Drosophila melanogaster: one gene and its partner. Changing the gene in region 2 together with the main gene of any one other region gives a genetic interaction. Each region holds a gene or a part of one and is shown on either strand. Other genes may lie near its edges.

The links.
Region 1: of Fsn (region 2) and wnd, changing one suppresses a phenotype caused by changing the other (phenotypic suppression), as found in Drosophila melanogaster (one study listed by BioGRID).

What each region holds. Positions count from the first base shown.
Region 1 is NT_037436.4:19,631,428-19,639,070, forward strand, and holds the start of wnd (wallenda), read right to left. Parts: upstream 4,357-7,643; 5' UTR 4,004-4,356; exon of another isoform or gene 3,995-4,003; intron 3,037-3,994; 5' UTR 2,954-3,036; coding exon 2,805-2,953; intron 1,670-2,804; exon of another isoform or gene 1,008-1,669; coding exon of another isoform or gene 940-1,007; intron 1-939.
Region 2 is NT_033778.4:13,218,610-13,225,626, forward strand, and holds Fsn (F-box synaptic protein), read right to left. Parts: upstream 3,851-7,017; 5' UTR 3,735-3,850; intron 3,730-3,734; exon of another isoform or gene 3,621-3,729; 5' UTR 3,561-3,620; coding exon 3,253-3,560; intron 3,196-3,252; coding exon 2,831-3,195; intron 2,768-2,830; coding exon 2,673-2,767; 3' UTR 2,330-2,672; downstream 1-2,329. Other genes in the region: CG4646 (uncharacterized protein), read right to left, coding at 1,037-1,275, 1,335-1,587; CG17059 (uncharacterized protein), read left to right, coding at 1,769-1,846, 2,157-2,294; DP transcription factor, read left to right, coding at 4,437-4,503, 6,858-7,015. UniProt on the Drosophila melanogaster protein: Required in the presynaptic motoneuron to down-regulate the levels of wnd and restrain synaptic terminal growth at the neuromuscular junction (NMJ). Negatively regulates the localization of vas to the posterior pole of the oocyte.

The DNA of each region.
Region 1 (7,643 bases), on a different chromosome or scaffold from region 2:
TAAACTTATATTTAAAAATGTTCTTGTTAATTATCATGAGGCCACATTATTAAAACTAACGATTATTAAAAAGAAGCTCAAATGACAAGAATGTTACTGTTCTTAAGTGGAATCATAAAAAGCATATATATCTCTCTATTTAAGCTGAGCAATTTATGTTTTATATCAGCTTAGATCGATAATTTTGGTTACGTATTGGTAACGATAAAAAGTATGCATAATAAATATCCTACCATTTATCTATGTACATACATGAAGTTTTTTTTATCATGCGATTTTTACGGATTAAATAAGAAGAACAGTCCCTTTGCAAGTATTTGTTAGTTTCTTTATTACTGTCTTCTATTCCAAGACAACATATTAACACTAAATTAGCATTGTTCGAAGGGTAGCTAAGTAAGTCAGCAAGTTTTCCCACACTGATAATTCTGGTTGGCTCTCAGGTGAAATGTGGATATATGTAAGTGGAGGTATTGTCCCTGCTTATTAAAGTTTCTTATAATACAAATCATAATTTGATAGCCGCTTAGCTTTTATCTTCGCTTTTCGGGTACGAAGATTTACTCCATTACATGGTGAATTCACCCCTACCTGTTGATCATTGGAAAAAAAATCACACGCGCATTAGTGTACCGTTCTCTGTTTTTTTGACAATACAGCCGTCCTGCTCGCACGCGGCTGGCGGCACCCGCCGTGCAAATGTCAAAAACCTTTCGTTTATTTATGAATTTGTGAAAAAGCATTAATTTCCGTCCCCAAATGTTCTGTTGCGATATGCGGCCAAGCACGTTTTGACCTTTGGCGTGTGGTTCATAGAACGCGGATATTTGGCGGCGTCTCCCCATTTCTTTTCATTCATTTCTGCATGGGTCAGCGGTGAATCTGTGAGATTCTGTGACTCAGTGCATCTTGAGATACTTTCGGGTGCGTGTATTTTACCTTTTTTCTTTGGTGATGATCATGTCGGGCGGGTCATTGTGGCTAAAGAACGGTATGATGTAGACCATGGTTTATTTGTTATTGCCACTTTTTTGGTTCCCTTTCGTAATTAGTTGTCGCGCACTAAGAATTTCATTCATTCATGCGACGAGACTGCATTAATGCAAAATTTTACGCTCGCTTTTCGCCAGCAGTTCTGTTTTTTTTTTGTTTTTACGCACTGGGCCAACAACAAAAGTTGGCTAACTTTTGATTGTGAGTTCGTGCCAAGCACCAGCAGCCACCGAAAAAACAACAACAATCGCCTTTTGTCGTCCGATGTATAATAATAAAAAAAAGTGACGTCAAGGTAAGTTGGTATCGCTTTTTGTTGCTATTAATTACAAGAAAAGAGAGACGAACGCGACGCGTAACACTTTCGTTGGCGGTTTTTCAAGACTGTTGCTTATTGGTTGGGTTTGGGGGGGAAAAATGCAATAATTTCACGTATTTCGCACAACTGCGTCACACCAACACACAGACAACGGCTGCAAACTGATTTGGCGATAAGCTCGCTTTTGTTTTTGTTGTCGCACAAACACACGGACGCAAATTAAGGCAGGCTTGCGAATTTCAAGCGCAAAGAGCGACCACCAGAAGCGATTGATTTTCGCCAACTAAATCGCGACTCGCAGCGTGAGCATAACGGTCTAGCTCCACATTATCAGTATCAGTTCGGATGGAGCTCTCTCTCCCGCTCCGCTCTCATCTGCTGTTATCATCCGGCGTTGTTGTTGTCAGACTGACCGCATTCCCCAGCGCCTGTATCGACTGGCCAACCATCTCGAGGTCTCCCCAGGCCAGGCTGCCATCTGGTCACACTTAAAACCAGTTTTCATGGTGGGGAACACATGATCAAATCTCACACACATCCACACAAATACAGATACAGGTGGTCGTGCTGTGGATGTAAGTGTGCGAATAGGAAGTTTTTGGCTGCGCCCCCCTGCAAATTGTATCGCCCAATTTTTTTTACAGTGGATACTGCCTATGAAGACATTTCCGTGTGCTTGTTATCTCTACTCCTGAAAATCGAGTGCTCTCCTTAGTAATATTATAATCAATCACAATTACAAAAAATTATTAAATACTAGTATTTCGCTATTTAAATAATGAAACCCCTTTTATCTGCTTATCTGTTAACACTGTTGTTTTGCAGTGTTTTAGTAGATGTCTGTATGTCTGTCTTCTTTGTTGTCATTATTATGCTCTTTTAATATCTACTGTGATAACTTTTTATTATTTCACAACAAGCTTTTTTGGTTTGCACGTGCTTTCTAATGATTTCTATTTACTTAGTGAGACTAGGAACTAGGAAAATAAAGCTGACGCCTCCTATTTGGGAAATAGAATCCTGTATCTATCGGATAAAGTTGAATTTTTTATTGTTACTCAGTTCAAGATTTTTGTGGCTTTTTAAATTTTTAAACGATCGTTTAACCTGCTAAATACTTTCGAGTATTCAGTTGCTTGCGAATTACATAAAAACTTGTATACAGTGAAGGTCGATTACCCCGCTTAATTAAGCACGATTCGGCGGCATATTCTTGAAATATTAATTAAAATTTCAAGCCGATTTTGTTTCTTTTACTTAAACACGACGAGTTTTTAATGGCTGAAAGTATTTATTTTTTGGGGTTTTTATGCTCGAGGTTGCTTTTTAGTTTTTTTTTTAAGATTTAATCAATTATGTGATTACTCTTTAAATAAAGTTTCTAAATGTCCAACAACTTTTCTATAATCAACTCAAACAAAAATCGTTCTAAAACTTTTAGGTTTTTGTCTTAGCCATCACGACCATAATGTCTAATAATAATAATGCTCACCTCCTTCGCAGATTGTCGGTCTGATCGAGCGACAAGTTGGGGCTGCTGCCGTGGTGTCGCCTCCGTCCGTGTAGCTGTTGTTGTTGCCGGGAGGCGGCGGTGACCAGATCATCGCGACTTTTGCTCAGACTGTCGCTGAACGGTTGCATTGTCCAGGATTGGTGTGGTTTGGGTATGTGTATTGGTGGCTCTATGATCGATCCTTACGACATTCTGGTCAATAAAGCGGTTGCTATATGGAGATACCACGAACATTAGTATTTTTTGGCTGGGGATTTCCTTTTCAGACACACACACGCGCACATTCGTTCGCAACCTCTTATCAATGAATGACGAAAATCAATAAGAAGCAAACGACGTCAAACGGCAAAGGGCAAAAGGATATGCGAGCAGGAGCGGGAGCGAGACAGCAATAGCACCCACGCAAAAAAAGCTATTTAAACACACAAACACGGGAAGAAGAAGGGTCGATTATTGCACTTGCTGCCAATTCACTTTGCATTCCGCTTAAATGTGGTTTTCTTTCACTTTCAAACTGCAGGCTGAGCTATTTTTATGATGCCTTTAAAAGGCGAATTGCACAAAAGAATAGGCGCACACACAAGCTCACATACAGGTATTCTTTTTATTTGTACACAGAAAAAAAAAGTAGATATCAAAAAATGTATTTATATATTGTATCCCATTTTTGTAAGTTAGATGCTTTTCCAATTATTTTTGAGATATAGTACAGAATCTTTTTCTGTTAAAAAAAAAATATAATTCGCCAAATAATATTACTTTATGATTATTTTTTTTCTCATTTGAATAATATCTTTTGCTTTTCAAAAGATAAACATATATTAGAAGAAAAGGCACTTGATATCATTTTTTCCTGTGTACAACTCCACTTCTTGTTGTTCTTTTTTTTTTTAATTTAACTTGGCCAAAGCTAGAACATAACAAAAACAACAAACATAAATGTTCCCACACACACACCAGAGTACATTTCTCGCTATTGCTGTCTCGTTCACACCCACCCAGTAGGGCCCTCCCCTCTTGCTCGCACCAACGACGGAAGCCTTACAGCGCAGCTTTGTGCTGTTGCTGCTTCTTCTTCTTCCTCTGCTGCTGCCTTTTGCTCGCTCGTTCGCTCTTTTGGCCAAGAAAATCAATATAAAAATTCTTGTATTTGCACATTTTTCACACACTTTGCTCACTTTTCCAGCAATTTTCCACTGCGAATCGTAGTGATTGCATTGATTCGTACTTTATTCAGCCATTGGCGAAGAACTTTTATTTGATTTCAGCTTGAAATGGAACAATTAAAGACTGGTTTTCTGCTCTTCTTGGAGTTCCGCTGCGAAACGCGTTTATTCCGACCAACCGTCCGCACCAAAGGTAGATACAAATCGACTAAAAAGCAAAAACTGGCTGCTGGCTCTGCTTTGGCTTTGGCCGAAACCGAGTTCCAATCCGCTCTCTAGCGCTCTCTCTTGCGGATTTCCTCCACCAAAACCAGTTTGGAGCGCAGGTTGTGTTCACTGCGCAAGTGTGCGGGAGAACGCGACTGCGCGGGATGGCCAACCACAAACAGACATCAACTGCCAAGGCACTGGGTCGTTGTTGTTGCTGTCGCCTCTCCGATTATCCCCGTTTTTCTTTTGCTCACCACACTCTACTTGATAGTGCCAATGAAACTGGATCTGGCTTAAAAGTTTAATAAAGCTCTCGTCAGCGACGTGCACGATCGTGTTCAGTGCCTAAAAGCGCTCATGGCAGCTGCTTCTGAGCTTTTAGCAAAATAATGCTTAAAAAGATAATGAAGTCAAAAATAAATAAATTAAATAATTCAAATCAATGAAATTAGATGTACACATTTGTGTGTCGTTGAATATCTAAAACCTCGCTTTTACCACACTCTTTTTCATTTCTATTTTTATTTTCTCTTTCGAATATTAAGTACTAAATTTAAGAATACTATTAGCAACTTTTGGAAACTTTGATCTAAAATTTTGAAAGAACATCTGAAAGTAGAAAAATTTATTATTAGACAGTTTTTTATACTAAATGTGGGTATTAATTTTATTTAAAAGTCAGCTTCTTAATAAATGAAATAAATAACTAGATATGTATGTATGTATATCTATTTAAGGAAAGTCAAAAACTTAGTGATACTCTTAAAAAGAATGTATGTATGTATTTTGATTTTGTTTTATCAATATATGTTATAAAAGCATGAGCTAAGTTACTTAAAGTATGATCTTAATACTTTTTCGCTTTATACACAAACAAACATACATACATATAAAAATTAAACTTTAAATTGTTCTTAAATGCAATTCGCTTGCGTAAACAACCTATCAGCTTATCAGTCTGTACGTCATAAGCTGGGTATGTAGTTAAACTCGGCACGTCATCAAAGAATTGCTATACAAGAGCAGAGCTGTGAAAACGGTGTCTCCGGATTTGTGTCGAATCCCATACCCCTGCTCCTCCGCTTTCGCACAACAGGTAGAGCACGAAAATGAAAATAACATAGTGCAGCAGGTAGCATAATTTCTACATAAACAAAGATGACTCATACCCACAGAGGACTGATCTCTTTGGAGAACATGTTAGTGGGTGGGGGCTTTTCTACATCGTGGAAAATACTTAGCGAATTCAGCGATCAATTGTATATTTACATAGTTAGAATTTCCATAGCATATATTCAGCGATCAATTGTATATTTACATACTTAGAATTTCCATAGCATATAATATTCATAATAAATGTCTCTACTATGAATTGGAAAAGCATTATTCTATACACGAAATATTTCGAAATTAACAACTTATTATTATGTTACGTACATATGTATAAAAATATTACCTTTATCACCCATGATAACAGCATAACGCCATAAGTATATAAGATCTTTTTGTCGCGGTGTATCCTTACCAATCACACAATCCACTTTTCCCTTCTTAGAGCCACCTCCCCCCTTCCACGTTATCAACAAATACCTTTTCTTGTATGTTCTGACCAATAAATTGTTATGCTGCCTGCGTGCGGCTCAGGCGTTTTCTTTTGGTCCATTGCGCATGAGTCATAGGGTTTCACGCATTTGAGGGACACCGAGGGCCAGTATCTCCCAGGGTTCCAGTTCCATGTCCAGGGTGCAGGTTCCATGCCCGTCAATCAGTGCCACTTGCGAGGGGGAGGGGGTATATGATCTCAACACAAGAATTGCCTTTAACAAGTCTAAGTTAAGGGTAGTTGAGGATCATTGAGATAAGGATCTTGTTGGTATTGTTGTGAGAACAATAATAGTGTATCAATGGAAGATTGGAATATCTCTTTCTTTTGTGCTTCAAAATAATGAATCATTTTGTTTAATATCTATTTGTTAGGAAAGTTATTTTTTTCACTTTGCCTTTTTTAAAAAAGGAATCCAATATGGTCAATTGGTTATAACACACTTTCTTTTTAAAGCTGCCATCATGGAAAACCTTTTAAATATGTTCCTCAATGTACGCAGTTCTGATCTAGAAATTTAATAAAGAACTGAGTTTCTTGAAATAAAAAATGTAAATATTTATTACTTCCATTCGCAGACAAGCGAGCATTAAAATAATATTTCACAAAGGTTTTGTGGTTTTTTTTATTGCCCAACTTAAATACATGTCCTAGGAGCTATTCTTACAAATGTGATCTTGCACAGAAGCCAGATCTCTAATCGACATTTATCGGATTCAGCAATATCTATTACTTAACATCTTGTATAAACTAAGTTGTAAATGCTTAATTCATTAATTAAATGTAATTATATTAGACGACAGAAAATGCTACGTGCTGTTTATTAGAGTTGCCTTATCAGTGCTGTCAAAAATACCGGAGCGAGTGCTGTTCAATAAATGTTTCTTGGCACATTTGGTTTTGATTTAATTGTTGAAAAGCTAAATGATTATTAAGTACGAATCGAATTGTTTAGAAACTGCCACCATAGGATAGGAAAACCATATCGAAAAGGCTCTGTATTCCAGATATGCAATGCAAATGATTGTAATTAAGACCATTTCATTCATTGTCAGTTATGGAATAGCAAATGTTATCAAAATCCAGTAAAATGCGCAATGGAAAATGCCAGAAAGTATTATGAGGTTGACAATGAGTTGCGGTGAAATCAATTTGAGGTTTAATTTTAAAACTGCTGTTGATATTACCAGGAGGGGCTTTTCGAAGTCGGGAGTCGGGTTCAGTAGAGCTTTAGGTATACCGTAGATATTAGGGAAGCAACGAATACGCACTTCGCTGTTAGAAGTAATGGCGGAGTACATATCGAAAACGAATCTATAAATAGTAGTCACAAAATTGAGATTATTAAATCGGGCGTATATCGTATCCGTAGCACATAGTTGTAGTATACAACATTAGGTCTGTCTAACAATTTTCCTTTAAATCTATTATTTAAAGCAACTTAGAGTATACAAAATATCAATATATTCAACTGTCACAGAAATGTTTTTGTTTAACGCACTTCACGGCGACTTAATAATTAATACTGCATCTGATTCCCCTGATGACAGTGCGCTTCGAAAACAGCTTGCATTAATTTAAATCTAAAAACTGTGTCAGAACATAGATACTGTGGAAAGTAAGTCAAATTAAACGATTCCGATTTAAGAAACGCACTGAATATCAATTATGTGAGTGGGAACTTCCTGCTAATTGAACTCACATGTCTAGTTAATCCCAATTCATAAATATTGTCTTTTTCACACTACTCTTTCTTGGTGGAGGAGCTTATATTTACTTTTGCCAGCTTGCAAATGAGACCATAGGGAGGGTTAACTTTCCGAATTCTTGTAGAACTCT
Region 2 (7,017 bases):
GATCTTGTTAATTTAAACGAAGCACTATTCAATGTAAAAAGTGGCCAAGTAGTGGCTGGAATTTATATGCATGCACGCAATCCAATCAGTGTCAATTGAGATAGAATGCTGCATCTTGGAAAGCGTAGAGTGTTGTAATGGGAATACGTCTTCCAAGTGCCGTAATTGACAAATGGAGAAGATGCATGACTGATGCGTGCCAGCCTAGAATCATGCATTATGGATGAACCGTGTGGGAAGTGGCCAGGGGTAGACCGCTTGATATGAGTATTCCAAATCACGTACTTTTGCAAAGGTCAGGGCTGGAATTGGGTTATATTATTGTATTGGACTGGTGGGAACCTCTGCAGGCTGTTGAACTACGTCGCCCAAATGTCCAGATAAGACTGGCCCCCCACATTATCTAATCACTGCGAGTTTTATTGATGCACCTAGTGCCTCTGACTGGCGACACTCGCTCGGCAGACCGAATAATTACCGGAGACGCACTGGCTGAGCACTTGGCAGGTGTACGTAGGTGGTTTCAAAGGGTCACCATTCACCAAATATTACGCGCCTTTTGCAACGATATCCGGGTCCGGCAATTCGCTTTGGATTCCCGTATCCGGTCCGTTTCGCTCGCAGTCTGGCGAAATACTGCATTGTATTAAGAAATCAAGTGCAAACGCACACAGAGAGGCAAAAACAATTGAGAGAGTGCTAATATCTTCGTGCTCAATCTCAATTCAAAGTAGCCGGCACATGAAAATCGATATCGAGAGAGTTTGGGAGAGCGGCTAAGAGAATCGCATGATGATCACAAATAAAGTTTTAAATATATCTAGAACACTTCTGTATTGTTTAAGAGCAGGAGGGGTGAATTAGAAAAGCATTTTGGAAGAATTACTTGACAATGGTGATTTATAGTTAACAAAACAATTCGAAATGCCTTTATATGCTTAAAGGATATTTGTTTTCGGGTGCCGTGTAGTGTACATTTATCAGTTTGAGGCGTTAGCCTAATATCAAGAAAATCCTAGGTAAAGTGCAGCAGGATTCACTTCTTCAGCTTAATGAACTTCGAGGCGAATTCATAAATGCCCACAGAGTTGTTGTTCTTCTGGTCGTACTCCACCCAGTCGTCCTCGGACAGGTCCACCTCCTCGAACTGCTGGCCATTTTCAGCGGATGAGACGCGCCAACCGACGCGCGGCGAGAATTCGACGGGCTCTGCGCCGCGGCACTCGAAGACCACGATGGTCTTAAATGCGCCAGAATCGTCCGCCGTGTAGGGAGCTGTGTGGATGGATGCACTCAGTAGTTTGGTGGGGATACGTTACTCAAAGCCAGCCTACCATTCGACTTGTCGACGATGTCGATGCTGTTCTCCCGGCTGCACATCTTGCACTTCATGAAGAAGTTAAAGCCGGCCGCATTGCGCGAATCCTGTTGCACACGTTCGGATTCCGTGATATCGTGCCACTTGTCCGACTGCTCGCCGCAGTTGCTGCACTTCAGCTTCAAGAAGAAGGAGTAGTCCGGATGAGACGTCTCCAGCTTGTCCACGTTCTCCAGCGTGGCGGAAATCTGAAGGCCCACACGAACCATTTTTACAATAGTTAATATTTATATTGAAGTTCTTAGCGGCAATCAGCTGTTTCATAGGGTTGCCGGACGGGTACCTATTTTCTGTGTGTCATTGCAGTGGCAACGCCTTCAGCAAGTAAAGATTTTTCTGCGCTAAAAAAAATAACAAAAAAGATAATTGGAAGCTAAAATAGAAATAAGTATGGATTTAAACATGAAACCGTCTCTGGCTGCCGACGAAATGTTTTCCGAAGGCCCCGGCTACATGGAAATGGACGAGGTAAGTCCTCAACATAGCTTCCCATCGAAGAATATGGTCGTCGAAAACTTTGTTTATCCTTGTAGCCAACATTGCAATTAAAAGTAAACAACAATCAGATAAATCTACAATCTTCTTTAGAAGTAGTGTTTCCCCGCAAAACAGGAATATGTATCTTTCATTTCATCTTTTGGCGACTTTATTTATTATATTAATTGTTCCCATGTCCAGAGTTTTCATCAATGCTCATGGCAATATCCTACATAAATGTTAAAAACCTGCCACCATACGCTCATATACATATGTATATATTTATATTGTATTCCTTTAGTCCGGCGGAGCCACAGGAATGATGATGGACCACCTGCCCTCCAACGATAAGCACGTCCACGCTGACTTCTACAATGATTTTGATGATCTGTTCGATGAAGACAACTGGGCCAAGATGAAAACCGATGGGAAACAGTAGAGGCCACCACGCAATAAATGGATTGAAAGATTTGTATTCGCGACTCGTTCTTCTGTCTGTAATTTTACTTGCACAATCAGCGATCATTGGTGTATAAAAAATTGCTTCAACTATTGTTTAATCGCTTATTATATTCATTTGGTTCGTATAACTAAGGTAAATTGCCATGTGAGATAGTGCCGAGGTGGATATGAACTTTGGCTTAGCGTAAATCAACAAAATGCATAATTTTGTACAAAAAAACGAAACTATTAACTAAATTTATCGAACTGAGTTTCAGGTGGAATGAAGCAATCATAATTGAGATAAATACAAATGTACACAATAACCTAATGGATCCGTGGAAGTTGTTAACCAAGTTGTAGGCCCTCTGCAAAGCTATCCGTCCAACGGCGTGCCCAGATAGACCATCGAGACCTCGGTATTGCCGTAGACAGCGGATACTGTGGGATAGAGCTTTTTGTCCGGCAGGCCTGCAAGGTGAAAGTGCATAGAATCGTTCGTATCGCTGGTATCACCAAACTATTTCCCCTTACCCCGGAAGGCCACACCGAGGAACTCGTAGTTCTTCTCGAACGACAAGGTGTTGTCCTCGCAGTCGAGAATGACGCGTATCCGCTCGCCCACTTGGTACTTGGGAGCATTGTTCAGCAGCGGGTAACTGCCCTGCATGTCGCCGTTGTGCAGCAGGTGGTTCTCGACCAGATTCCAGCCCCAGCTCTGGTCGTCGGAGCCGAGCAGAGCCACATAGCCGTGACACTGTAGAGCCGCCTCCTTGGTAGATATGCCGATGACGGCCACAGTGCCCAGCGGTCCCTCCCATATCACCTCCCAGGTGTGACGACCGTGGCGGAATCCTATCTTGCCCCGGGCCGCGTCTGTGCTCTGCGCCACGGGATTGCTGCGGGAATGGAGGGACATACATATAACGCCGACTCAAGCAAACCGAATACCTTACCGATGCAGGGTGAATCCGTTCGGCTTAATGTACACATTCCTCGAACAGTCGTTGGGGCTCCAGGCGTGAAAATAGGCCCGCAGCTTCGTCTTGTACGTGGAGACGGAGGCCAGCAGGTCCGATTTGAGGGACTCCTTGGGCAGCTTGTTCAGGCAGTGCCAGCGCCAGACGTCGCTGTTCTCGTCGTTGAGGAAGTGGTACCAACTTTTGCACACCTGCGAGCAATGACTGAGGTCGTCCAGCTCCAGGTAGGAGAAGATTACCTCCAGCACATTGTAATTGCACAGCGCCGCCACCGGATCGACCATTGTGTGCGTGTGCGCTCCGCTGCTGGGCTCGTGTAGATAGCTGCTTGGATTTACCCGTTCCTGTTGATTGTCATTTTCCCACACCAACCAAATGGGTAAAAATAAAACTCGAAAACTTTAATATTCTGCGATTCAGGGTGACCGTTGGCGGGCTGCCAGCGAAATACCGCTCACCTGGACAAAGTGGCAACTTTGTTTACATCCGCGACCAGTGTGCGATAGCGACTGTCGCACACAGCTGCTTACAACACTGCGTAAATTGATGCGTAAATTGGCGCGCACTGTCTGCCATTTCATTCGCACCCGCACACAGCCTGCTTTGCCTTTCCCACATGAAAACGAAAAGCAGCCACTTGGTGGAAATTTTGTGACCATTTTGTTGCGCTTAGAAATTGCGGAAATTCGCGCTGCTGCCAGCCGTTCGATAGCTAAAAGTTCGCCGTATCTTTTGCCACTAATCTCGTGAAAATCCGTGCGCCGAAACACCGCGAAAAAGGCCACCGAAAAAGGGCCGCCGCTGTGAGTGTGTGTGAGCAGCAGAAAAGAAAAAAAAAATGCCCTGCCGCTGGAAGTGAAAAATGCGCTCGCCATTTTGACTTGGGCGACACTTATTTTTTGTACAAGTGCGCTCCCCATTGCAGTCGTCGTCGTCGTGGTCGTGGTCCGCATCCGGATTTGCACACGTGCCCCAGTCCGTGGGTGCAGTACGTCCGCCTATCCACCGCCGTCGCCCATTCCAGCTCCATTTGCCCCCCCCTAGCACACACGTTGCGGCGAAACGGCACGTAGCACTGCTCTTTCCTTTTGTTTTTGGCGGTCCACCTGGTGAGCGGTAAGCGACAACAACAAGATCACTTGATCTCCGGCGGCCGAAAAATGGCGCATTCGACGGGCGGTACGGTGAAGACCGATGAGGTGAACTTCTTCTTCCGGAACGAGCACGGTAAGTGGGCGGAAGCGGTGTCCTGTAATAGGAGTTTTGCTCACGATGGAGTGAGTGCACTCCCTCCCTCCGCTATAGTCCATCATACACACACACCCCCTCATACACAAGGCGACCCACACAGATACGCTACAAAGTTGCATGGGCAGCGTAAAACGCCATCTTTGCTTTTTCGGGTTTCTTTTGCCTACCGTATTCATCGTTTGATACGCTTTGCGGGGGGAGGCCAGCGAGACGAACCGAAAAGAGTGCTAGAAATTGGCAAAAAGTAATAATAAAAGACAGAGACCCCCGCGAAATAACAACTTATATCAGTAAGCCACCCAGACCCGCCCCCTTCTGCCATCTACGCCCATCGCCCAGTTGGCGCGCTTGCTCACACACACACATGCACGCACACTAGCACGCGCGCGTTTTCTCCTACTTATTTTTTTGTTTTTTCATTGGGCGGCGAACAGCTGATTACTTCGCCGCCACTGCGAATTCGCTTTGAGGATTTAGCATGAAGTGAAGTAGTGATAAATCGTTGATTTCAGCTACGTACAAAGGTATTATTGTGAGGGACATTGTAAATTCAACTTGAAACAAATGTATCTGAACAGCGTGACATTCTGCCATATCTTAGCGAGTGGGAGAGAGACGGGGCGCACCGCCAAGAGAGATCGGGGTGAGAGAAAAAAGGCCACAGCAAGAACAACACTGCCACACACACACACACGTAGTCAGCCACGAAGCTGAAGCCCAAAACAGGCGAGAGCAAATAGGTGTAAGCGCTGTACACGTGTGTAGTTGTCCGTCGCCGCGTTTATGCGGTATTTACCGTACCCCGCAGTACTGAACTGATTAACTTCATGAGTTTCATTCAGTCATGATAGCAAAGAAGAAGATATGGATAGCTTTATGACGTGCTTTTATTTGTATAAAATGTCTCTTTAATCCCCAATATGTAAAGAAATAGTAATTTTTAATCAGTGATATTGCTCTTTGTTGAATATGAAGCGCGCATAAACGCTTTATATAGACCAGTATATCAGCCTGTTCGTACCAGCGAGTTACCTGGTTTGTAGTTATCTGCTGGTTGACTGGTGCAGACGAACTATGGAACTGCTTCTCCAATTGTAGGGATTATGGTTTCACCTGCATTTTGGGACTCTGCCTAGGCATTGTAGGATAACTCCCGCCGAGTTTAAGACTCCCATCGTTACCATCTGGTGGGACAGTCCGGCATTTTCTCGCATGTGTCCGCTGCTCAAGCCCCCGTGAGTCTGACTCACTTGCAGGTGTGTGTGCGTGTGATGTGCCCGTGGGTGCGGGAGAGTTGGCAGGTATTTTTAGCGCTCGACCCTTTGCGGTTTTTGTTTTGGGCATCTTCATCTCCATTATGCGTTGTCCACCTGCTTTGTTGTTATGATTATGCAAATATTGGGCTGGCGACAGGTGAACAATTATTACATCGAATGAATACCATCTAAAACTGGAAATGTTTAGAAAAGCCGGTTGGATACGAAACCCAGGGGTGCCAACCGAGTAGTCTTAATGGGTTTCCGGTTAATTCTGCCTTGATATTATAGTTGCTTTGGAATGGAAGTGCTCATAGTGTTGGATATACCAAATTAGCAGTAAATAAAATTTACTAAAGAACGCAACTAAGAACAGTGATTTGAAATGTCACGCTTTTAAAAATACTAACCGGTATCATATTTGCTCTTACTTTTTCTTCTGCTTAGGCTTCTGCTTGATTTATTGTCTTTCCAGTTAAAAGTCGAATTGTGAGTTTTAATGGGAAACCTATAATCGCACTATATTTAATTCAAATTATATTCGAACTTGGATTAATCCGACTAATGACTGATCAACAATCTTGTCGAGTCACGAACTTTAGTATCGAACCATCTCTAATTGGTTAAGGGTCACGTGGTTGCCATCACTAATGTCCAGGCGATCTGGTTTCGGGTTGTTTATGCTTCTGCATTTGTATCCTTGTCACACCGATTGAAACACACGCACACTCACCACCAGCACGTGAGTGTGGGTATACCTTGTGTGTATGTGTGTATGCACCCCAATCTTAATGTGCCGCTCGCCTTTCGTTGTTGTATTCCGACTCCAGTGCGCTTAACTCGCTCCATTCCATTCTCTTCACTTCGCTGCGATGAATTCACCGTATATACGGCGAAAAAACGCATCGTTGATAGTACCACACATACATTCAGTTACTCGCTAACACTCTGACACCCATGTGTGTGTCTGTGGAGTACATGCAGTTTTGTTATCAACGACGGCATTTCAGTCGCGTGTTATGTGTATATCGGAAACTAAGGAACCTCCGCATCTTCCAATTTCCAATTCTGCAGGACAAATATCCAAAATGCTGAAGCCGGCCCAGAACAAGTCCGAAATGGAGGGAGGTAAGCCCGTGGCGGTGGTCTACGCCACCGGCTCATCCGCGCGCAACAGCGGAAGTGCTAGCGGCATCGGCAACGTGGGACGCATGGGCGCCTTTAGTCAGATGGT